Linked DNA regions of Drosophila melanogaster. The protein of the gene in region 2 interacts with the protein of the main gene of each other region in a pairwise test. Each region holds a gene or a part of one and is shown on either strand. Other genes may lie near its edges.

What was found.
Region 1: the proteins of CG15167 (region 2) and Nup50 interact in a two-hybrid assay, tested with the Drosophila melanogaster proteins (one large-scale study listed by BioGRID).
Region 3: the proteins of CG15167 (region 2) and Fdx2 interact in a two-hybrid assay, tested with the Drosophila melanogaster proteins (one large-scale study listed by BioGRID).
Region 4: the proteins of CG15167 (region 2) and CG5968 interact in a two-hybrid assay, tested with the Drosophila melanogaster proteins (one large-scale study listed by BioGRID).

What each region holds. Positions count from the first base shown.
Region 1 is NT_033778.4:8,120,209-8,127,023, reverse strand, and holds Nup50 (nucleoporin 50kD), read right to left. Parts: upstream 3,989-6,815; 5' UTR 3,887-3,988; coding exon 3,661-3,886; intron 3,605-3,660; coding exon 2,475-3,604; intron 2,415-2,474; coding exon 2,076-2,414; 3' UTR 1,966-2,075; downstream 1-1,965. Other genes in the region: coil (coilin), read left to right, coding at 15-100, 155-1,491, 1,551-1,757, 1,815-1,954; Asap (ArfGAP with SH3 domain, ankyrin repeat and PH domain), read left to right, coding at 4,639-4,767.
Region 2 is NT_033779.5:18,737,945-18,743,019, reverse strand, and holds CG15167 (uncharacterized protein), read right to left. Parts: upstream 2,663-5,075; 5' UTR 2,611-2,662; coding exon 2,260-2,610; 3' UTR 2,213-2,259; downstream 1-2,212. Other genes in the region: CG42752 (uncharacterized protein), read left to right, coding at 3,014-3,502.
Region 3 is NT_037436.4:4,289,096-4,295,005, reverse strand, and holds Fdx2 (ferredoxin 2), read right to left. Parts: upstream 2,525-5,910; 5' UTR 2,383-2,524; coding exon 2,264-2,382; intron 2,176-2,263; coding exon 1,836-2,175; 3' UTR 1,574-1,835; downstream 1-1,573. Other genes in the region: dyl (dusky-like), read left to right, coding at 1-484; CG15012 (uncharacterized protein), read left to right, coding at 2,853-2,936, 2,997-3,131, 3,190-3,319, 3,383-3,492; Hexo1 (hexosaminidase 1), read right to left, coding at 3,827-3,893, 3,956-5,045, 5,126-5,760, 5,835-5,910. UniProt on the Drosophila melanogaster protein: Required for ecdysteroidogenesis in the prothoracic gland which is necessary for larval to pupal transition.
Region 4 is NT_033779.5:16,546,907-16,552,548, reverse strand, and holds CG5968 (uncharacterized protein), read left to right. Parts: upstream 1-2,589; 5' UTR 2,590-2,662; coding exon 2,663-2,846; intron 2,847-2,902; coding exon 2,903-3,198; 3' UTR 3,199-3,368; downstream 3,369-5,642.

The DNA.
Region 1 (6,815 bases), on a different chromosome or scaffold from region 2:
TTGCATTCAAACAGAAGGACATTAGTCTGCTCACCTCAGATGGATGCTATCTGCCCCCGAGGGAGTCTATCAAAGTGTTGAACTCTGCCGAAGGACTCAAGTAGGTGAGCTTATTTCTTTTTACGATCTACTTGAGCATATTCATCCCTTGCAGAGCCTTTCGGTTTGCCAGCCACGATAGTGATACCTTTGTGAGCCCTGCTCCTGTAAAATCCAGTAAAAAGCGCAAGAATCGATCCGTCGAGGAACAGGTTCACCTAACCGCCTCCACTCCCCTCCGACCTTCAAAGCGCTCCAAGAACCAGAACAACTCAGAATGGATAAATATTGCAGAAAACCCATCTCGTGTGAGAAAGAAGGAGTTGCTAGATATGGCTCCTGGACCTTCTGTACAATCAAAGCTCTTGACAAACAAAGGCACTCCAAAGGCCCCTGAAACTCAGACAGAAGTTTCTAACATGTCAGCGAACATCGAGACAGAGAACAAGGAATCTGCTCCTCAGATTAAAAATAAATCCAAAAACAAGAAACCGACCAAATCGCCCGAGGCATCTGACCAGGTAGAGAATGAACCTGCTCCTAAGAGTATTTCTCGATGCACGCTCAAGGAGGGTAAAATGTCAGAAAGCAAGAATCAAGAGACATCGCCTGACATTCTATCAGAAAAATCTGGTGTGGTAACGAAGGAAAACGAAACTCGAGAGGAGCAACAGGACAAAACACACTTGGAGTCCAACAAAATTCCGGATAAACTATCTCAACTGAAAGCAGGGGACCAAATTGAGAAGAGTCCTGGCATTGCTGCTAGCCTCCTATCGATTTCGTTCCGCTCCCCTCTCTTGGAGATGCCCTTTAATGTTCCGCGCATATTTCAATTTCCCACTAAAAAACAACAAATTGAAATTCTGGAATATAAAAAACTTAAGCCCATCAGTCCTCGTTTTTTGCTGCAGAAAGGAGCTAAGAGTGATGATACGGCTAAACAATTCCCAAGCAATGGGAAGGATTCAACCTTAAAGCCTAAATCCTACGAAATTTTGCACGACGAAGAATTACCAGATGTAAAGGATAAAAAAAATGTTTCAGAAGGTATAAAGAGAGCAGTTGCACCTCTTTGCGAAGACATCATTGAAACATCAACCACTCTTCCGGGGGCCATAGGAGCAGTTGAATCCGCTTATCTGGACAATTCGACTGAAGCTGAGACCACTCTTCCGTCCGAAGCTGAAGCAACTAATCCACTTGAACTTACTGAGTCATTTCTACAGAACAACACATCTATGGAAAAAACACCCAAAGTCGAAAAAATTTTGCCAGATGACGGAAGTGCATCTCCGATTAAAAATAACGTTGATTCGAAGGATGTTAAAACGGTAACAGTGCCCATTTTTGAGGAACAACTAGTATCCGATTCCGACGACGATGTGATGTTGGTAGACGACTCCAATATCGACGTTTCATACGGCGACTCTGATATTGAACCGATTCCAGGTGAGATACGAGGCATTTAAATGGTAGATGTATGCTTATGAGTGCCCTTGACATCTTAGTAGTAGAAAATAGGCAATCTTTGGATATTATAAGGGACCTACTGCGGACTGCAACTCCACTCAATAGCCTGCCGTCCAGGGGCGATACGGTTATATTTAAACTGCTGAAGATTAAGGGAAACGCCAATTCTGGCACAACCGAATTTGTCGCCGGGAGGTGCACTTACGTTAACCGGCGCACCAAAATTGTCACAGTGGAAACAATAAGTAAGCGACTATCAATTTAAATTGTATACCCGAAACTGATCTCGTTAAAATTTTTAGCTTATCCCCCCGAAATCGGTCGCATGTTGCGTCAATATTATATGAGTGGGTTGGACGAGTCTTCTGAGGATGTGCGAACTTTAAGTATTCATCTCAAAGATATGCTTGAAGCCAAAATCATTGTAGCCACAATTGACTGATTATCATTTTTGTGTGTACATTCTTGAGTTCTATTTCCAGGGTTTCGTACATTTATAGCTTTTAAAATACAAACGATTAAACAACATCTATATGTACGAATTCATGTTAGTTGTCTATCCTCTACTTGATGTGCTCCTTGATCTTCTCCAGCAAGTCGTCGGCTTCGTCACCGGTCTTTACGCGTAGCAACAGCGATGTGGCCTTGGAGTCCTCTGGCGTGGGCACGCAGACCATCAGCACATTGTTCTTGCCCATGCGCTGGCAAGGTATACCCTTGCTAAGAATAAGGTTGACCAAGATGTTGCCCAGATTGGTGTCGGCGCGGACTAACAGTTGGATCTTTTCGGAGTCCTTGACAGGTTTCAAGTACAACGTGCCCACGCCACGATCGCCAAAGTCCTTGTCTTTCTTAATGAACACCTTACACCGCTTGGAGTATATAGCGTCATCCTCCACAACCTGTTTGGAGTAGAAGTTATATTATCTTTCCCTTCGAAAAGAAAATTCTTTTATCATCACCTGTTTAAACTCGACTTTTGGGGGCGTATCCTCTTCTTTTTCCTCCTCCGCAGGCGCTGCCGCTGCAGCTGGCGGATGAATGTTTCCGAGAGAGAAGGGCGTGGCACTGTTGGTGAAGGAAAAGCCCTTTGCGCCGTCTCCTGCTCCTCCAGGCGCTTTTCCGAAACCCGCAAACAACGAGGTGCTTGGCTTGTCGTCGTTGTTACTTTTCAGTCCGAAGGAAAAGCCATTGGTCTTCGGTGCCGAGAAGTTAGGCTCATCCTTTTTAGTGGTCGTATCCTTTGCTCCAAAGCTAAAAATGCTGGACTTAGGGGTATCATCGGATTTGGCTTCTCCAGTGGGTTTTGCTGTCAAACTGAAGATACTGGAGGAGGACGGCACTGGCGCAGTGAACGATGCCGTACTGCCGAAGGAGACCAGTGGTGTTGCGGTCGTGGTGGTTGTTCCACCACTGGTTATGGTGCAGTTGGGTTTCTTGGCTAAGGGCGATACGCTGGCGCCTATTGGCGCGCTGGGCTTGCCAAACGTAAACGTAGTAGCCGCTTTTGGTGGCGACGATGCACGGGACACCTTTGCAACTGGTTCTTGAGAACGAGCTTGTGCCGTTTTGGATTTCGTGGAGTTCGTTCTGGCGCTCTCCTCGTCTTGCAGATCCTTTAGATGCTCATCATAGTTCTTAAACACTGGAGTCAGTATGCAGTAGGGACTTTTGCCCATTTGGTCCTGCAGGAATTTTATGACGGACCGATTTAGGTCAGCAACGCTTTCACGGTACTCGGAGGTCTCCATGGTGGATGTGAGGCTAGTGCTGCTGCTGCTGGTTTTGGCCTCGCTACTCTCCTTCTTGGCAGCTGATATGTTGCCAAATATCGAGGTGGTCGGCTTGGCGCCATCGACGGTACTTGTTGATTCCTTGGCCGGCAAAGGAGAGGGGGCCGTGCTGCTGGTGCTGGCGGTGCCGCAAATGCTAGTGCTGACAGGCCGATCGGCCGAACTGGAACTGGAGCTGAACCCGAACGAGAATGCAGACTTTTTTGGCTCGCTGCTAGAGGTCGTGGCTGGTGCCGTCACATTGGCCAGGAAGGAGAAAGGCGAACCCGCGGCTGGGCTCGCAGCCGGCTTGCCGAAACCTAAAAGCAATCGGAGTGAGCAAGTCCCTCAGGTCTGCATGGATTTGATAGCTTACCGGAAAAGCCACTGAACACACTTTTGGGCTCTGCAGTCTTTTCTTCGGCGCCATCCTCTTCAGCGGCGGACGATCCACCGGCAATCTTGCGGCGCGCCTTCTTGATAACGCGTGTCTTTAGCTCCTCTTCGGTGGCCGTGCGGAATGTGCCGCGCTCCTCGGGTTCCTCCTCCAGGTCCCAGTTTTCGTGGTTCAGGTTCGAAGTGGCTTGTCGCTTGCCAGCCATCTTGTTCTACTCTGTATTAAAACTCAAAGCAAATGCCAGTGAAAAAGAAAAAAAAAACCGAATAAAATCCACACCGCGTTGCTGGCGGTCGATAAATGTTATCGCTACCTCAGTTGGGCGACGTAACTGTGAGTCAGCGAAACAGGCCTGCTGCTTTCGATAGCATATCGATAGGGTAACAACAGCGAGACGCCAGCAGCACAAAATCGCAATAAAACAAAAGTATTAAATCACGCCTAAAGTTAGGACGACCATGTCCAGTGCCGCGAGTCCCAGTCACAGTAGCAGTACCAGTCCGAGTGTGTTTCTGATCCTACCATGATTGCCGCGATTCCGGGTACTGCGCACTTCCCTCGCCCAGAGACAAAGTTAATTGTGCATCTCGAGTAGTACGAGCAGTACCAAAAACGCAGAAAACCGAAAAGCGAAAAGCAAAAAGCCAAATTGCATGAGGATGATGAGAACGCCAGTGTGTGGATATATGGATATAGTGCCAGGGAAAGTGCGACGAGCAACAACACAAATCGGGAGTGAACAAAGACGCAGAGACACGTACAGTGCTTAAAGGCGTTATCCTGGTAGTTTCTCAGCTATTTGCCGTCCCGCTCCCACTCCCATTTTGCTCCCGTTCCACGGCCTTGGGCGTGAGCTGGTGTGCGTGCGACTCGCGTGTGTGTGTGTGTGAGTGAGTGTGCGTGTGAGTAAAAGATACGCTGTATATACCAGGACATCGGGATATCCTGAGCAGCAAAATGCCGCCATCCCTGATTGCCGTGTCCGAGTTTGTGGAGGAGACGCGCTCCGATTACAGCTCGCCCACCACCTCCACCTTCGCCTCGAGGATGCCCGACTGCCGCCACACGATTGGCGTCTTGGAAGAGGTAAGTGTGTTGACCAGGCAATTCCTAAGCCATGTTCCTTATGTAGAGGCAGGTAGTCCAAAAAGCCAACAATCTGTGTACCTACAGCCCAAGCAATCCCTAGTTTAAGGTGGGCTATCCTGGTGGGTTTACAGGTGTGTTCTGGGAATCCCAGTCTATATAGTTTTATATTTGAGCTAAACATATAAACAGTCTAGGGGTCACTGAATTTAAAGGCATTTGAACCGCTGAAAAATTGGGTTTACTGTTCAAAAACTAATATCTTCGTAGGCTACGGAGAGTGAGGAATGTGTTATCGTCATTACTTGTTTATTTCAATGATTAAAATTCCGATCCATCTGCGGATAATCTGTAATAATAATCGGTTTTGCAAAACAAAGTTCCTAATTTAATGGAATCTGATCGATGTCGGTGAAAGTGAAAACAGGAGCACGGCTATGTGACCACGCGATACTGCAGCTAACATGGCAGGCGACGCCCCCTGCCAAACGGTGATGATTACTATTTTCCGGGGGGCTGCAGCGGACAGATTTGTAAATTGGCGCGGCGCCAAAATGAGCCACCGCCTGTTATTTTAGTGCGGTCTCTCTCTCCCGGCTCGCGCTCTCTCTCTGTCTGCCCGCAAGGTGGTTTTTCCTCGATTCCACGATTCCACAAAAATAGTACAATGGAAATACAAAGTGCATTCCGGAACGTGCAAGAGCAGATGGAGCTAGGGGCGCAGGGAACTGGGGGCTGGGCACCGAAGTGGGAGTGGCTGCCACATAAGCATGCTGTAATTTCTATATTTACTCAAGGCAGCTGTGATGTCGCCTCCACTTTCATATGTATGTAAGTGCACGGATATAAATCGCCCGCTGATAAAGCTAAGCACACAAAGAGTATTTTACGGCCGGAAAAAGGCGTGTGATAAGAGCAGCGAATCCGAGAACCGCGGCTATTCCCGTACGGGAACACTCAGTCAGCTGGGGATATCGTCCACAGAAAACACAGAACGCCTAAGTGGAAAAGTCATCCATGTTGTCATCCAAAAGACCCTTGAGTGGGCCGGTTGTGCAATATACACATATTGCTCCAATTCCCCAGGCTAATGCAGCGCCCGCCCGGCGAAACAAAATTAGACGATTTATTGGTCGGTCACGTCATGCCCAGTTTTTCCCGGAACTCTGGGCCGCCTTCTTGGACGCCACGTCAAACATTTAATATTTAATTTTGCTGATGGATTTTTGGTGTAGCCCAAGCAGCCCAGTGACCTCCATTCCCCGCCAGTTAAATGAATTTTATTTCTCTTTTTTTTTTAGCCAGTCTCTCCCATTGCGTGTTTATTATATTTGGAGCAGCTGTAAAACTGACTGTCTAAAATGAAATTTAATTTTGTGCGTCCAAGAGTTTCTCTCTGTGCCATTCATTTGGCCGCTCCACAACAAAGTGCTGCTGTTTTAGCCATCTTCTGGGGCTTTGACTTATTATAAATTAGCATCTTTTGTTATCAAAACAGCTAACTGGCCGCGCAACTCGTCCAAAGAGCAAAACAAGTTGACGAATATCGTTAGCTGGTTTTTGTTTTCGGTCTAGGCGTGTTGTTTGCATTCCCAGTAATTTGCTCAACAACATGACTAATCTTCTACAGCCGATGGCGGATTGCTAGGGGTTCATTTGTCCCCAGATGTTTGCCACTCAGCGACTATCGCGTAGTATAGAATTGCAATCGCAAATAGTCAGGTTTCCCGGAGTTCGGTCTTGGCCGATTCGCTTGTTACTTTTTTTTCCATCTGCAGTATTTATTGGGCAGTTGTTGTCTGGTAGCTCATATATCAGTTTCAGCAGGAATGTAAGCGATCTTTGCCGATTCCCATATGATTCGCAGTTGTGTCAGGATCCCTGCGCCCCTCCTTGGCGGCTAATTCAATTCTGAACACAGCATTTTGAATTGGAGGCAATTGGGGAGAGTCATCGGGTCAATGGGGGAACGAACTCTTTCCTTCTCGACTTCGGAAATGTACTGAAATCATTGTTTATGCGGTTCCGGTTTCGGATTATAAAAAACT
Region 2 (5,075 bases):
GGCGGCCCATAACCAAATCAACATTTTGCGGGAGTAGTTTCTTGGTCGGGCTCCCTTTTTTGGAATGATTTTATAGGGCGAAATGGCAGCCTTAGTTGGCCGAAATGAGGCTGAAGAGGAGTAATTTGAATATGGTTTACAAGCGCTCGGGCATTATTGAGCTAAAAATTGGGATTAATTGAGATGATTTATATGATAGGTAGTTAAGTTTGTTCGTACTCTAGAAGAGAAGAACAATAATAAAATACATTACTTTACGATTTTACTGAATATCAAAGAAAAACATTATATATTTCATATAATTCTCCATTACATATATAAATTAAATCGTAAATTAAAAGAGCTCACTTTTATTGATTTTAAATACTTAAAAAAAAACCCACACAAATAGTTCTGCTGCAAATGTTTGTTGGGTAACTCGCTGAACACACGCCCAACCAACTGCAAAAATATAACGGTATCCAAGGTTGTGCTACGCTTAAAATGTAATTGTTCGACTTAAAGAGCCAGAGCAACAACATCAGCCAACAGCGAAACAACAAAACCAGAAACAACAACAACACGGCGATCAAGTTTGCCGCCGTCACCTTTTGCCGTCTAATCAAATACCAGACCAAGACCCAGGGAATAACGCCATCGCTTGAGACTCTGAGCTACCCACCTATGGATACGATACGATACCATACGATATGTAGATACATCCCATAACCGGCAGATGCATGTGCAGTAAAAAAAAATAACACGCATTAATAACTACATTAATTAGTCACCAACTATTGTGTTTCTTTCAATATATATAACATATTTGTATTTCGTACCTATCAATTTTACCTATTATTTGCCAACAAAATTACATACTTCTAATGATCAACAAGCATTGCACCATTTAAATTTAAATGATATTATCGAACAGAATAAGTATTATAATATTTACAGTTTTTAAAGTTTCTAATATACAATTAAATACATCATGATTGTGCAGATTATGATTTCTCTCCGTGTCGATGTATGGGCATGCCTGCATGGGCAGAGAGACACCAACCAACACATGGTCGAATCCGAAATTCAAATCCCAGCTCAACGTCATCGAAGCGCCGCACTCTGGAGGACTCCGCGATGCATCGCAGCGGGTCTTTGGGGGCTGGGGCGGAATTTTCACTTGAATATTCGACACACTTTGAGCCCGGGCACACACAGCTGGAAGTCGCGAAGGTTTGCAGGATTTCCAGACTCAGATTCAGATTGAGATTCAGGGAGGGGCGCCACAGCGCGCTTGGCTGTCTCAGCGATTCTTGGGGCTATGCATCATCATCATCATCATCGGCCGGGGCCGGCGTCGAAGTTGGAGCTGCAACATGGCAACATGTTGCAATCTGCCAGCTCTGCATGCATAAAATATTATGCAACATTATGCCACAGACACAGGCCAGACGACACTCTTGGTTTTATTTACACTTTTTTCGGGCTGTGGCCACCCCTCGCCCGAAATGTTGCTGCTTATTAGTGCCGGGATGTTGACAGCGTTTAGATCTAATTGAATCGCCCGGATCGCCGATTTCTGTGCCGTCCGTAGAACATTTGGCTTGGCCCGCTCCCATTTGGCCCATAACCCATAAATCTAACACACCGGCACGAGAGATTTATAGAGTTCAGATTGCGAAATGCGCAGAAGCACAGCACAGCGCGCAGCGCCGAGCTCGGAAAATCTTGAAAAATTAAAATGACTAGTGCCGGGGCACGATCAAGACCGTGCTGCCGTCTTGATAGCAGACAATGGCAACTCCGGAGGAGATGGAAAGCCCAAAAGCGAAACCTCAGCGGTAGTCAGCATTGGGGCGTCTGCAGTTCAACGTTCAAGTGGCACAGTACGCCCTAGAAAAATGAATTGATTCGATTGTTTTTCGCCGCAACTCGGGCTCCTCTACTTTATCTGCCAGCGCCGAGCGGAAAAATCTGAAAATGGTTAGACAAAAAAAAAACGAAAAATCAGGGGCAGAGGCAAAGGCAGAGGCAGGGAGCGCGCCCCGAAAAATACTGATGATACAATCGCGTTTTTGACTTTGAAAAGTCAGCTTCGAGTCAGCCGGGCTATTGTTCAATGGCCCAACTGCAGCAGCGGCAACATCAGCAACAGCAGCAGCAGCAGCAGCAGCAGCGGCCGACACTGATTGTTATGGTTTATGAGATGAAAATGCACTCGAAACAATATTCTGGGGCCAATGCAATTTGCGATTTTTAATCAACTCCTCTCGTCAGCACTCAGCAACAGAAGAAAACATCGTATTTGGGGGCCCCTGATTGCAGCTTCCACTTCGAGAATCGTGGCTCCTTCATCTGGCTTTTGATCTTCTCCCCGTCCCCGAGATGATTCCCCTGGCTCCTAGCCTGCATCCACTCGACCATCATCTGCAGGCCAGCAGAGCTGCCCTCCAGTTCGCCGCCCACTTTGCGGCCACAGTGCGTATGCGCGATGTAGCCACACACCTTAAGTTCTGCGGCTTTGTGGGCCACAACTGAAAGCAGGGCCTCATCGGAATCTTCGGGCACACTCATTTCATACGCTAATAGGTAGATCTCTGGCTGCGGTTGGAGTACCAGTTCCAGCGACATTTTTGGGAATGGAAATTTGAGTATGTGAGTTTTCACGGCTTTTGAAAATAAATGATCCAGATTTCCTAAGTTACTCTGCTGATGATATATAATCGAAAAATTTGCGTGGAGTAAACATCACTGATCCATCCAAAGGTAAGCATTTAAAACAAATTCTGAATCTTTAAAAATGCTATACTTTTATATTTATATAGATTTTCGTAAAAAGTATTTTTATAAACTATCAGGAAACGTATTTTAAAACAAAATGTCAATTAATAATTATGCTTTGCGTAAGTCATCAGTTTAATCAATTTAGTTTAAAAACAAACCTACACGCCAGTAAATTTAGCTTAACACTCAGTACAATCCAAAATTATAGCCCTAAGTTATTTGCATATCTTTCAGCAAAACTAAACAAGAAATGACATTATTAGGGTCCTACGATTGGATGTTCAATGAGGATATTCAACTTAGGACCGAGTTTAAGTTGTACAACATAATGTCAAGGAACCAATTTCCGCGTCGAATTCTTCAATATTGCCACAAAAACCATATAACCGGATACATAGTATTCACCCACGGGGGCAAACAAGCATTTGGAGTGATGGATGGCAAGCGGAAAGATTTAAACCGGATAAAGCCCTACCTTCTGAGGTTTTGCATTCCAGAACCCTTTAACCAACGAGTCACTTTTTCAGCCTACGAGTTATGCTTCAATCCGAACAAAGAGAAATTTAATATTAAGGATAGAGTTCCTAAGGGCGCCAAGTTTCTGGGAGATATATACGAGGACTGCTTTCTGAGGTTCAAGAATCAAAAACCGGAACCGGAAGAGGAAACCGAGGCAACTAAAGCCTTGTTCGCAAAATATTCCGACTTCTTTAACTTAAAATATTTCGTCAATTGTTAATGGACAATATATAGCTAAGACTATGCCAGCACAATTCCCGATTCTCTTTAGTCGCAGTGATTTCTCGCAGTGTGGATGCGACTCGTGCTGGCCATTGTTCAACACTATTTGCGGCACTCAATCTCTTAATTAAATATGCGACTAACTGGCAGCTCGGAGGCACTCGAAGAGTGGCCCAGACATCGCCGTTTAGTGTCGAAATTGTGCAAGTTTTGATTTTCCTTTTGTTGTTATGGAAGTCGCTGTTTGTATTTTTTTTTTGTTTTTGTTTTTGTTTTGGCTTGGTTTGGTTTTCTTGTTCGCTGGATAATCACAGGCCCGGCGAATAGACGGCAGAAATTAAATCAGCCAAGGTTATCGCATTAATAAGCCCCCTGGTTTGGGTTTTACAGTTTTCTGAGCCAGTCAATTATTAAATTTGCAATTTCCGTAGCTGAACTTTTGGGGTCAGTAGACTGATTTAAATCAAAACCGTAATTGAGCATTGCCCGCGAGCTAGAACCAATCGCACCAAAAACCAAATACCAAATACCAACCTCCGGGCAGGAAAATTGACAAATGTTTGATAGCTAGCTACCTTTTCGGATTGCTTGTTTCACGTGCATTTATTTTCCTCCAAAAGCGGATGTGGGGACGCTGCGAATCCGATTCAGAAAATGTACAGAAAAAAAATCGAAAATCAAAAACTCCCAGCTAAGTGGCTTTCCATGACATTTTACTGACACTCTTGCCGTTGAACTGGAAGACCTGTTTTCATTTTCCCTCTTAGCGCAACTTAACACATTTGACGAAGATGTCTATGCCAGCAAATGACGTGTCATCAATGGAGCCCGCACTCCCACATAAAGATGCACAGCGTCCTCAACTCGATCTCGGATCTCACATCTCGCATCTCGTACCCCGGCCACAAATCCCCAGCACTTGAAGCTTGAAGAGATCTGTTGGTGCTGTTGTATTAATAAGCCTGACATTTGAGCAGAGCATCCACTCGAAGCCATCGGGTTTCGGTTTTGCGTGTAGGCGTCTGAAAATAATAATTAAAAAATCGTTTCTAATGCGGAAATCTCGCGTTTTTGAGCTGGGGGTGAGCTTAATGCCGAAGATGTTAGACAAATATATCAGATTTCTATTTCTTTTTTTGTCGCGCTCCTCGCTTTGGTTAATCTTCCAGTGGACGGTTGTGGGGGATCGGCAAATCGGTGACATGGGTAAAGATGGATCGTTGGGAAAGCAATTGAACAGTGGATCGTCAGAGGTGAGTTGTGGAATCGTATGGGACCACAAGATGTAAAAAGGTGTAAAAAAGAAAAAAAAAATCAGCTTCCAAAATGTTTTTGATTTGTAGGCACGTCAGAAAGTTGTAAAAACATCCAAGCGGCAATGTATTAGAAACATGAAAATTAATTGGCTATAATAAAAAATAATATCTTTAGGTTTTATAAATTACATGATAATTATAAACCCATAATGTATTTATTGGCTAACCAAAGAAGGAGTTTATTCATAATATATCTTTATAATCGAGCACCTAACGGCAGTTAATCGTTAACAATTAAACAAGTCACAACTACGA
Region 3 (5,910 bases), on a different chromosome or scaffold from region 2:
TCTGCCGCCACCACCACTGCCAGGACAGAGCGGTCAGTACAGCACGGTGAAGCGCAAGGATGACCTGAGTGCCGGTGGCAACCTGGTTTCCTTGGGCGGACGCCCACGCTCCGTGGAGGGACTGGACGATCTGCGCGGCGTGCGAAGGCGCAGAGACACCATGGACATTGTGGTGAAGCCACAGAGGATCTACAAGAGGAACGCGCAGGAGATGACCGATGTGAACACCAGCCGAATTATCCAGGTGGTGGCGCCCGGAGACGTTAACTTTGCGCTGAACAGCAATGCCAGCAACGAGACGGTGGTCATCCAGTCGGCCAGGTCCGCGGATGCGGAGACCATCTGCATGTCGGTGCCCAGCTTTGTGGGCGGATTGGTGATGCTGCTGCTCGTCCTGGCCGTCGCCTCTCTAGTCGCCGCCTTCCTCTTCGTCCGCGTGCGTCACTTCGATCGCAAGGGAGCGGGCATGGCCTATGTGAACTAAGGATCTGAAATCGGGCCAGAGGACCGGACCATCATCACCATCAACAGCGACCGATCGGCGTGAACAGAAAACCAAATCAGTTTTATGTGCACTTCAGAAACACTCATTCCAAACCCATTCCCCATAGGCACCCCCCATCCCATAACTATTTATTCTTTGGTTATTTATTGAGATCCCACAATCCGCCACTTTCAAATGGTTTCCTACTTTACCACTACGCTCTATCCTTCATATGTTTCCCTAGTTTTAGGCAAAGCGAAATTGAATTGTCAGACTTGTTAAGTTTCAGTTATACCTACGCGGGATTTGAGGCCATCTGAACGAACAGATTAGCCTCGAATGTTACAATATGCAAGTTAATAATATCGAGAAAATAAACACAAACGAAGTAATGAAGCGGCAAACATGGAAAGGCAGAAAATCGTTTACAATAAGTTAATATAGCAAATGTATATATTAAATTATTTATTTATTACTTTATTTGATAGCTGCGAAATAATAAAAAGTTTACTTTTATTAAGCGACAAGTGTTTTAATGCGTTCTAATAGTACCTCTGATTATCGGAGCTTGGGAACGACTGATAAGGAAACGCAAACAAAGCTAATGCAAACTTTATCAGTGTGATGAAATGTTTGTGTGGGGGGCTTTGATAACAGCCCTTGTGTTGGCCGTGACTGGAAGTTTTGGTATAAACAAAACAAGTTTGGCAAAACGAATGAATAGAATAAAGAATAATATGGTTCGCATTGTCATACAAGCGAGGCAAATAGGAATATAAAATACGATCATCTTGAATTTGCTAACTAATGATCATAAACCTGTGTTCAAAAGTATACTACACACTTTTATTAGAACTATGATGCCGAGGAAAATCTTTGCGTGTGCCTGTTTATTTGCCGAGCACAACTTCGAGATCATGAATACACGCAGAAAAACACTTTTTAGCTGAGATATTTAAAAAACAAGAATGACCGATTTAAAATCGGCTAGTTTTGCCAATAGAATTAAAAAGGCAAATGAATTATTGGTTAAAAATGATATCTACGCTGGATGCTTTCCTCCACAGTTTCAATAAAACCAAGAGAAGTACGAAAATACATGTAAATTTATTGCAACACACTTATTTACATATTGATCTAATCCCTTTGAGCTTAAACACTTTAAAAACAACAGCGGACGCTAATCCGCAACTGGAATCGGATTAATGCGCGCATCCATTATAGCCGCCTGAGGTTTGTGTCCCTGGGACAATACATACGATTTCGTTCAAAAATATTGACTACATCTAGGTTGAACTAAAGCGAATTAGCACTCAAATTTGTAACAATTGATAACAGTGGTGGTGTCTATCTACGCGGCACGTGCGTCATTGATGGTGGAGGGCACATGTACCTCCAGGCCCTCCATATCCTTGGACAGGGTGATCTGGCAGCCCAGCCGCGAGGTGTCCGTCAGTTCGTACGCCAAATCCAGCATGTCCAGCTCCTCATCACCGGGTTTGTCGGGCAGTTTCTCGAAATCGCTGGTCTTGAAGATCAGGTGGCAGGTGGAGCAGGTCAGCGTGCCCTCACAGGCCCCGAAACCATCCAGATCCACATTGTTGTTGACCACCACGTCCAGCAGGGAGTCACCCACTTTTCCGGACGTCTTAATCTTGTCCCCATTGGCACGCACGAAGGTTATGTTAACACTGCAATAGCGAGATTGGTCAATGTTTACGCTGCTCTGGCGGTGTGGAGCTACCATTGTAGTGCTCGTGGGGTGGAGAAGATACTCACACATCTTTCGTTTTCAGGGCCAATCCCGTCGAGAAAGTACGCGTTGCGATCGGCGATCGCAAATTGAGGCTGCGTAGCGCCAATCTGGAGGCAGCTCTGCATGAGTTTATGACTAGCATTCTGGTTAGGATTCCTTTGCAATCTCTTACTATAACTGACAACACGCACCCACTCGTGTCGCTGCGATCGGTTGTTAAATAATAAGGAAATCAATTAAATTTTGTTAAACGTGAAGTTGTGTGTGACCGTATTGGACTTTCTGAAAAAGACGTCGTGCCTTTAACGTACTAAAAAACAACAACAAACTGCATAAGCAGTAATTTTAAAGTTAAACATTTAAATGTTTGCACAAATTATTGCACAAAATATTTAATTAACAGCAACTTTCTTTTTATAACGGAGTTAATTTGTGTTACACAAAAAGTATATGTTACTGCTGCAGTTCAGGTGTGAACACACTAAATACTGAAACAGGGTTGCTACAGCGAGTGAAGAAACCCTGTATTCACCTGCAGACAGACAACCCTGTGCGTCAAAACAAGAAGATTTAAGAGTGGAATAAATTTAATTACGTTTTAAAACCTAAACAATGGGCGTGTTGGACAATATTGCGTTGCATTTCACGGGGGATGCGTCCAGGAACAGGAACACCTCCATAATAGCCGGACTTCTGGTAGGCTAACACCCGCAAACAAAGAGCCGCCCGCCTGACAGTGCAACTTTTTCTCCTTAGTTTTTCGCAGGATGGTGGGTTCTAATCGATGCCATGTCCATCGACGGCAAGCACCAGATTACCACAGGACACGTCTTCATCGGCATCTTCGGGACCATCAGCTTCTGCATGGTGAACGCAGTGAAGGGAGAACATGTAACACACACTTATCATTGGGCTTAACAAGTGACTCACTTCTTTTGTTTGTGCGCAGATTTCTGATGAGAACTCATCGGAGTCCGGCGCCAGGATAGCGAAGATCTGGCTGCTTGTGGGCTTCCTAATGGGTTTTGCCTCCATCATTGCCGCCATCTGGGTGATGATCGACGACTTCATCAACAATGGTGAGAAATAAACAGATATTTAAGGATTCCTTAGCTGAATTGCACCCACTTATCGTTTTTCAGAAAAGAAGGATGGCTGGTTTGGCGTGGCTCTGCTGATGCAAAACGTCTTCATCCTGTTCGCCAGTTTGGTCTACAAGTTTGGACGCAACGAGGAAGAGTGGAATGAGTAAAGCTTCCATTCAAATTATTGCACAAGGGAACGCAGCTTTTAGTATCTAGACTCATTACGTACATAATCAGGAGTCCAAGGAGTTTATGCTTGAGGCCGAGGACACCATCACTCGCAAATCCTCACCCCACACATTGAAGCGTAAAATGTCCAACTCTGCTACTGTTCATATTCGAAAAAATCGTCGAGTCTGTACGGATTTCCCTCACTATTTCCGACATTCTGCCGCTTTGAATCGGAAAAGGGCGCAGAGCAGGGCCAATAATCTCATTTATATTTAACAAAATAAACGACAAGTCACTTGCGTAAGGCCACCTTTGAGCTGTACTTTATTTTCAGGCAGAGAGCGTTGTGAGAAGCAACAGGACGATCAACCCAAGCCGCCCGCTGCCCCGACTACATCTACAAGGATAGCGACCGTTAAGAGAAATGGTTTAATAGCTGGTCAAACTTGTGCATCGTACGCGTCAATGGGACACTCGTGCTCGTTTTGCAGGCACCACTGCGGCTGCATGGCCTCTGCGCCCAGACCATTGTCCACCAGTCGCTGGCGGTGGAGCAGCAGACGTGACTCCGCCTGGCGCCAACCTTCGGCAGGATTTGACCAAAGTCGTTCGGCCAGGGCACTGGCCCTGGGCCAGAAGCGGTTGTCCAGTGTGTGCTCGTCGATCTGCTCTGACCAAATGGCTCCCTCCGCGCCCAATACATGATGCTCGTAGTCGCCGGCAATGGATTTCAAACTATTGTCGTACACCTTCTGCCAGCCAATGTAGGGGGAGCACCAGTTGTTTCCATCGGTCACCCAGCCAGCTCCGCCGCAATCCAAGTACAGGGCATCGTAGTTGGACACAATGATCTTGTAGCCCCGCTCCAGAATCTTCTTTACCTTCGGATCTACACCAGTGGTCCAGATCTGAATGATGTAACGCTCTGGGTTCAGATACTCGTCAATGAAGGGCTCCTCAGTGAGTCCACTAGTCCACAGAATGATGGGCGTGTGCGTACCATTGGCCACCTTGTCCACGCGACCAAGAGCCTCCGTCTGGAAGTGTCCCCACAAGCGCATAAAGTCGGCGGTCTCCAGGCCCCAACCCTGTTTCTTCATCCACTGCTGGATGGGCTGGCTGCTGTTCCAGCAGCTGGTTGACACTTCATCGCCGCCCATGTGGAAGATATCCGGGTTGAACTGATCGAACATGGTGCCGTAAATGTCCTCCAGCACATCGTACATTTCGTTCACAGTGGGATCGAGTTGGCCACACGGTGGCTCAACGCAGAACGACTTCCATGGCTGGGCATTGAAGCAGGCGGTCATGTTCTTGTGCTGCCAGCCCTCACCCACATGGGCAGGGGCATCGAACTCTGGCATAACACGGATGCCTCGCACGCGGCCGTACTCCACAACCTCGGCCACGTCCCGACGGGTGTACACCTGCCGTTGGGAATAGGCTCCCAGCTTGTGCAGCTCCGGACGCTTCTTCACCTCCAATGGGAAGCTGTGCGAGTCCGTGATGTGCCAGTGGAAGGTGTTCAGTTTGACCAAGGCCATGCCCTCTAAGGAGGAAAAAAGGATACTCATAGAGTCAACGGAAAACATAACCCTCCCCTGCCTCTTTCCTGAACCATTGCCTTACCCAACGTCCTCTTGATGGACTTCACAGAGTAGTAGTTACGGGAGGTGTCCAGGAGCAATCCACGCCATTTGTACACGGGAGCATCGTTGATGGTGGCATTGGCAGTCACCTGAACCTCGCGGCGGATGTCATCGTAGACAATCAACTGGGCTAGTGTCTCCAGGCCATGACGGGCTCCAAAGAAGTTGGACGCGGTTATGTTGGCCAGCACATGACCCGAGGCATCCGTATCAATGTCCAGCGTATAGCTCTCATCCGTATCCAGGGTGAGTCTGGCCGGTGTCGGCTCATCCGGAGTATTGATGTTCACAGACATACGGTAGCCACCTCGTGCCAGAACCTTGCGATCCGGAATCTGGGCTTCGAGCATGTTCATGAAACGGTCTTCAACCGCTCGCCATAGCTTCTGCTGGCGGGCAATTCCATTGAAATTGAAATCAATGAAGGAGATGTCCACTTGGCGCATCAACGTGTCCAGACGCACAGTGCCCGTCGGTTTGGGCCACAAGGTGCCGATGGAGCTGCCGCAGAAGAGCCGGCACACGGGCAGACTGATGGCCTTGACGTAGTTCTCCTCGCTGAGCTCTACCTTCTGGCAGTAGCCACTGCGGCACTCGTAGCCGTAAACCAAGTCACTGGATGCGGGAATCAAGTCAAAGAGAAAGTCAGTGACCTAATCTATATAGCATACGAGGTTTGATTTACTCACTCCGAGCTGTGGGCCGCCAGTTGAGACACCAGGGCCAGGAGCAGGGCCACTCCAAGTGCAGTCCGCGTCGACTTCA
Region 4 (5,642 bases), 2.2 Mb from region 2:
CTTCGCCAGTATTTTTCTTTTTTTTTGGTGGTGTAAGTTCACAATGAGGAAAAATAAGGGTTGGGGTTGCCGGGCAGGTCATCCTTTCGAATAAAACACAGCAAGTATAACTGTCAGGCTGCAGAGGCTGCCGTTTATCACACATGTACACACACTACTCGCATGTACACTCACCTATGGGTCGCACTGTGTGCTTATAGGTTGACTCTGCATAAATGTCAAAGAAGATGCGAATGTGTGTGTGTGTGTGTTTGCCCGTTTGGTATAGAAGATTTCAGTTCAATTAAGCGTATTTGGCTAACAAATTAAACTTGAAGCAATTCAGTGAGTCAAGAGAAACCATTGACATAAAGGCAATGGGTTTTCAAATCGACATATATATGTCAAATTTTTAGTATTGATGTTTTTTTAGTTTTCAGGTTATCTATTTCATACGTATTTTATTTAAAGTGCTTTACCTAAACCTTAATAAATGCTTGCATTCTATCCATTCTGAGCCGTAAATATGCCTGAATTTCCTGTCCAATAAAATCCGTTGCAGCATTGTTCACAATTCAGCTTTTCTCATTTGCCATAAATAATAAGTGAAAAGCGTGTCATTCTAAACACGCCTTCTGCTTTCACCTACCGACTTCATAAAATACCTCGTTCGTGTTTTATGGCTGTGCACAGTGACAAGTGTTAAAATAACATTTGTACTGCATTTTAAATGGCATTTTGAGAAAAGAATTTCCGTGCGCAAGTGTGTTGCCATTTTGAAATTCTTTTATTTCTAGTGTGCAAAACGTTGGGGCAAAACAATCAACAAACGAATTTCCTGGTAGTCCGGTGTTTGTATTTCATTTTTGGGCTAGAGTCAAAAGGCTACATTTAACCGAGGAAAACATCAAACATTTTAAATAAATGTTCGCTCTGGGCGGAGAGCTGTTGTCCCTGATTTTTCAACGCTTCTATTTTTAGGTCTATACGAAACGGAAATCAAATAGAATTTAACCCACCTACAAAAACCATTCCTGCATACACACACAGATACATTTACGGCAAACAGACAAAGAAAAAACAGAAATCATAGCATACTTTAATGTGCTTTAGGGCCAGCAAAGTGAAGGGCAAAAAATGTATAAGAACTTATTGTAAATCACCGGATTGTTGAATTTTTATTTACATTGAAATTTACGTTTTAATTAATATGCAAACATGCACATAAAATTTGCGTTGGAAATATTCGTTATTGATTTTAAGATCCTATTGTTCTTTTTCCATGAATCGTTTATTTTATTATTAAAATAGAACGTAAAGAAGGAGCTCATACAACAATATTGAACAATTATTAATTTTATTGGCTTCTTTTCGGTCTTTTTCAGTTTCTGAGCGTACATTTTCCCATTTAAAAGTTATTTAATTACTTTACATTGGAAACATTTTAATATTTTAATGTTTAATTCAATTTAAAATGAATATTTCTGTATAAAATTGCCAAATAATATCACAAATTTTTCTTAAGCCTTTAAAGTTAAGATGTACAAATACTTAAAAAAGAGTACAATATATATATGTACGTAAAAGAGCATCGGAGAAACGATATATTTCTAGCTGTCACATTCGTTTTAACCATTTTTTTTATTGACTTTCAAACGTTCGGTTCAGTGGCAGCCATATGGCAAACTCTGACACTTTTTGATTAAATTACCGTTGACTGTCAATATCAAGAGTAAACGGCACTGCTTTCCAACTGTCCTTGGCAGCACTGGAACTGGCGTAGTTTTTGTACTTAATAGGCATTAATAACATTTTAACTTTGTTTAGTGCTTTTTGTTCGCCTTTTCATCGATTTCGCCATTGCCTGAAGTTGAAGATGACTGAGCATTGACATCTTTGTTAGTCAGTTGACTTTGACAGCTGTTGAGGCTTTAATTGCCACTATAAAAATGATTGATAACGAAAACTTTGGCGTGCGTATAAACATCCTTTATTGTTTTCTTTGCATTCGCTTTTTTGTGCCGTTTTTTTTTTTTCTTTTTTGCACAACCCAGTTTAATTAAACCTCCATATGGTATATATTCTGGGCTCGATTACCAAAGTGTGGGCGGTCAGGGATTCTATATTTAGACCACGCTGATTAGAAACAGCAGTGGCGAAAAACGTCAGCAGAAAGGCGTCCCTGATGTAAATATCAGAAGCCAATATTGGAGAACAGAGAGCGGCAAAGTTTGCTCAATTCTTTTACCACTCCTGTTGTTGTGAGTCGGGGATTATTGATAGATATGGCTAAATCCGCTTATATTGGCCAGCTTCTGCAAGGCTGATAGATAAGCGCTTGACGTCGGCCAGTCTACGTAAGTCTTGTTACCAACTGGATGGCGGTCCAAACTTGGCCAAGGATTCAAATGCCAGCGAACAGAGTACAATCAAGGTACAGGTATTTTTCTATCAATATGTACTATTCTCTTTTAATTAATAGATTTCTTTAAAATAATTGTGTTATTTAAAAGTGTAGGATTTTGTAATATTTAAATTAAAGCATGCTGAGAACTTGGTTGTCACTGAAATCTGACTAACAGCTGGCCAGTTGTATTTTGTGTTTTGCACGTAACTCTCAGTTCTTAGAACCGATTTTAGTGATAGCACACGTTTATACAGAATTACACAAATATCGAAAAAAATGCCCAACTTTAATGGGGCTATTATAGTGCACACACTTCAGTTGTTGAAAGCGCCGGCGACACTGCGAGAAATAGTGGTAACCATAGCCAAAAATACGGAATTATCGCAAGATGAGCTTAAAGAGCCTGTGAAACAAACCCTTGAAATGGGCCATCGCTTGGGATTCCTGCAGAAACTCGACGGTGAGATACTTAAACTTATTTTTATACCACACCTTAAAAAAAGGTAAATTCAAAAGGTCGCTACTTTTTGATGAATGTGACCTTCGAGACATTGATGTCTGAGATGGAGGCCCTTGACAAAGAAGAATCTCCGGAGAAGTCACTTAAAAAGAAAAAGAAATTAATACCCAAGACTCCTTTATCGTCGGTCGCTGAGAAAAAAATTAATAAGAAGCCAAGTCAAGTCAAGACAACGGAACAGTTGGTAAAGTCAAAACCAACTGAAAAGGGCCGACTGCAGGACATTCCTAGTTCATCCACAAACATAAGAAAAACGCCATCCAAGCTGATTAAGCGAACAGTTTTTAAGTAAGCCACGCAAAAGGATATTCGAACTTGTCAAAAAAAAAAAAAAAAAAAAAAAAACATCCAAGAAACCAATGCTACATATATTTGTTACAGGATAAATTTCTTGTCCGTTCTATTATAATATTTGGCCCAAAATAGGAAAAGATATTAAAATCTTATAAAATTTCATTAAAGCGTTTTTAAATCTAAATATTTAAAATAGGTCCATTGGGTATAATCGATTAAAATACGAAATTGCTGTCGGGAATAAGTCCTTACTTTCCGTCTCCTAATTCCCGTGGCCAATGAGAGGGTGCCTTTGAGAAATGGTGGCTCATTTGCGCAAACTGACAAATGTCTCAATTAGCGGAGGACGAATCCTCAAATGCAAGGGCGGTGGGGAGTATACATATATTCGGGAAAGTGGGTGGCAGCGAGGCGCCCGACAATGTCGCGACGCTTCCTATTCAATTTGAAAACCAAATGAAGCGTTGCCTCCGCCAAGGAGCAATTTACTCAGTGCATTGAATTGACCATATGGTTGGACACCCACCGAAGTCACCCACACGCCATCCGCACCACCGCCCCTCGAGGCATTTAGAATGGCCAACCCACCAGTTACAGGATCCCTTAAATTTTCGTAAAAAGCTTTAATGCACTCAAACAAGTTCTACACCATATTGTACTGTAAAAGATTTCAAAAAAGTAACTTTTTTTAAATCACTGTATACTTCATATGGAATATTTTTAGAGATTAAAATATTTATTTCTTTTTTTTTTATTTATTAGAAATCAAGTTCTAAATATACTATTTTATTTTTGTCATTAATTATTGTTGGAAATAAAGATGTATGAATAAAATATTTATTTTAAATAAACTTATGAATTTCGAATGCAAATCCATTTTTTCCGGTGCAATTGTAGGGTTTTTTATATAGTTACTCGCGCTGCTTTGCTTTGACCTTTGCGATGACGTCGGACCGGCGTCGGCTACCTCAAAGAGAGAGCAATGTAAACAGAGAAAGAGAAAGGCAGAGAAAGCAAGAGAGAGAACCAGTGGGGGAGAGAGCCTGGTGAATAAACAGCATGGTGAGAAGCGGTTCCTACGCGAAGAGTGCAACAAATGTTTGGTGGACAACTTCGGGCCAACAAGGTAAATGTTAAGGCATACACGATGGCTGAGTGGGTGAGCTTGTCGTTGGGTGGTTTTAGCGGGCGGTGGGTTAGTTGGGCGGGCTGCTTAGTGGGGTGGTTGCTTTTCGGCCCGTGACGCGTGGGCAGCGACAAAAGCGGGTGAAGCTATGTCTTGCCCTTTTTTTCGGCATACTGGCATACATAGCACGGCGAATTATTTGTGTGTGCCGATGTGCGGATATACAAATGTGTGCCTTTATAAGTGTGCTTTTATCAGGGTGCGTCAATCTAAGCCAAGTTCTGAATTTACGAAAGTCTTGAAATGCCAAGTATATTCTTATAAAGGTTTAAGCGCTAAAAGGAAATCAACAGTCCGCAAAAATAGCTGATCTTAATATTTCTTCTATTAAAAAAAAAGCACTTAATTTTAGTTCAGATCTTTACTTAGTTTAAGTCCTATATGCATGAACAAGTTTAATCAATATTGAAGTTTTTTATATTTAGCTTCGAACAAATTGCTCCACCCTAATGCTCCTGTATCCTTGTTCGCGATGAGCGTATACCCAGACAACGAAATGTCACAGCAGCCTACTTATGCTTTTTTCGCATCGCGTTTTATCCCCAAATGTGTGTGCGATTTTTGGTTCAGCTTTTTGGCATATGGTCGCCGTGCCGGAAAAGTGGGAAACCGGTAAGGGGGCTGCTTTCCCATTTGCAGTTTGGCTGAAAAGCTGTTTCGCTTATTTCCCTCTTTTTTAGTCAACCGTTTCTAGATAAATATTTTGCAACACCGCATCGCATTTCCATGATTAGCAGATAAACATATGCCAAGTTGCAAACTTGGCGTGTGTGTTCGGAGTGTAGAAGTTTAGAGAATCCCTGGGTAGTGGGCGGTTATACACGCGACTTTAATTGAGCTTTCAAGAGGACTAAGTTAAACATACAAATGTTTGCTTAGGATGCAACAGCTGTTGGCTGTGAGTTAAAAATTGTTCGAAAAAAACCTCTTTGGAGAAGTGGAATATCTTAAAATATTTAAATTTAAAATTTGATTTAAAACAATAAATGACGTAAGGTTTTTAAATTATAGTATAAAAATACTAGATTAATCGAAAATTAATGAAGTTTTGTATACCGCATTGAAACTGTGTATCTAAAGCTTTTAACTATTTAATGCCCAAAATTGCCTAATAGCGGTTCAGTTTAAAATAAAAAAAAATTTAATTACCCGTTATTATCACAAAATATATTCCTCACTAACTAAAATCCTTTTATCTTTAACCCCACACCCATTGTCATTCCATTTGGTTGGAATGTAACGCCTGCCCTTAATTC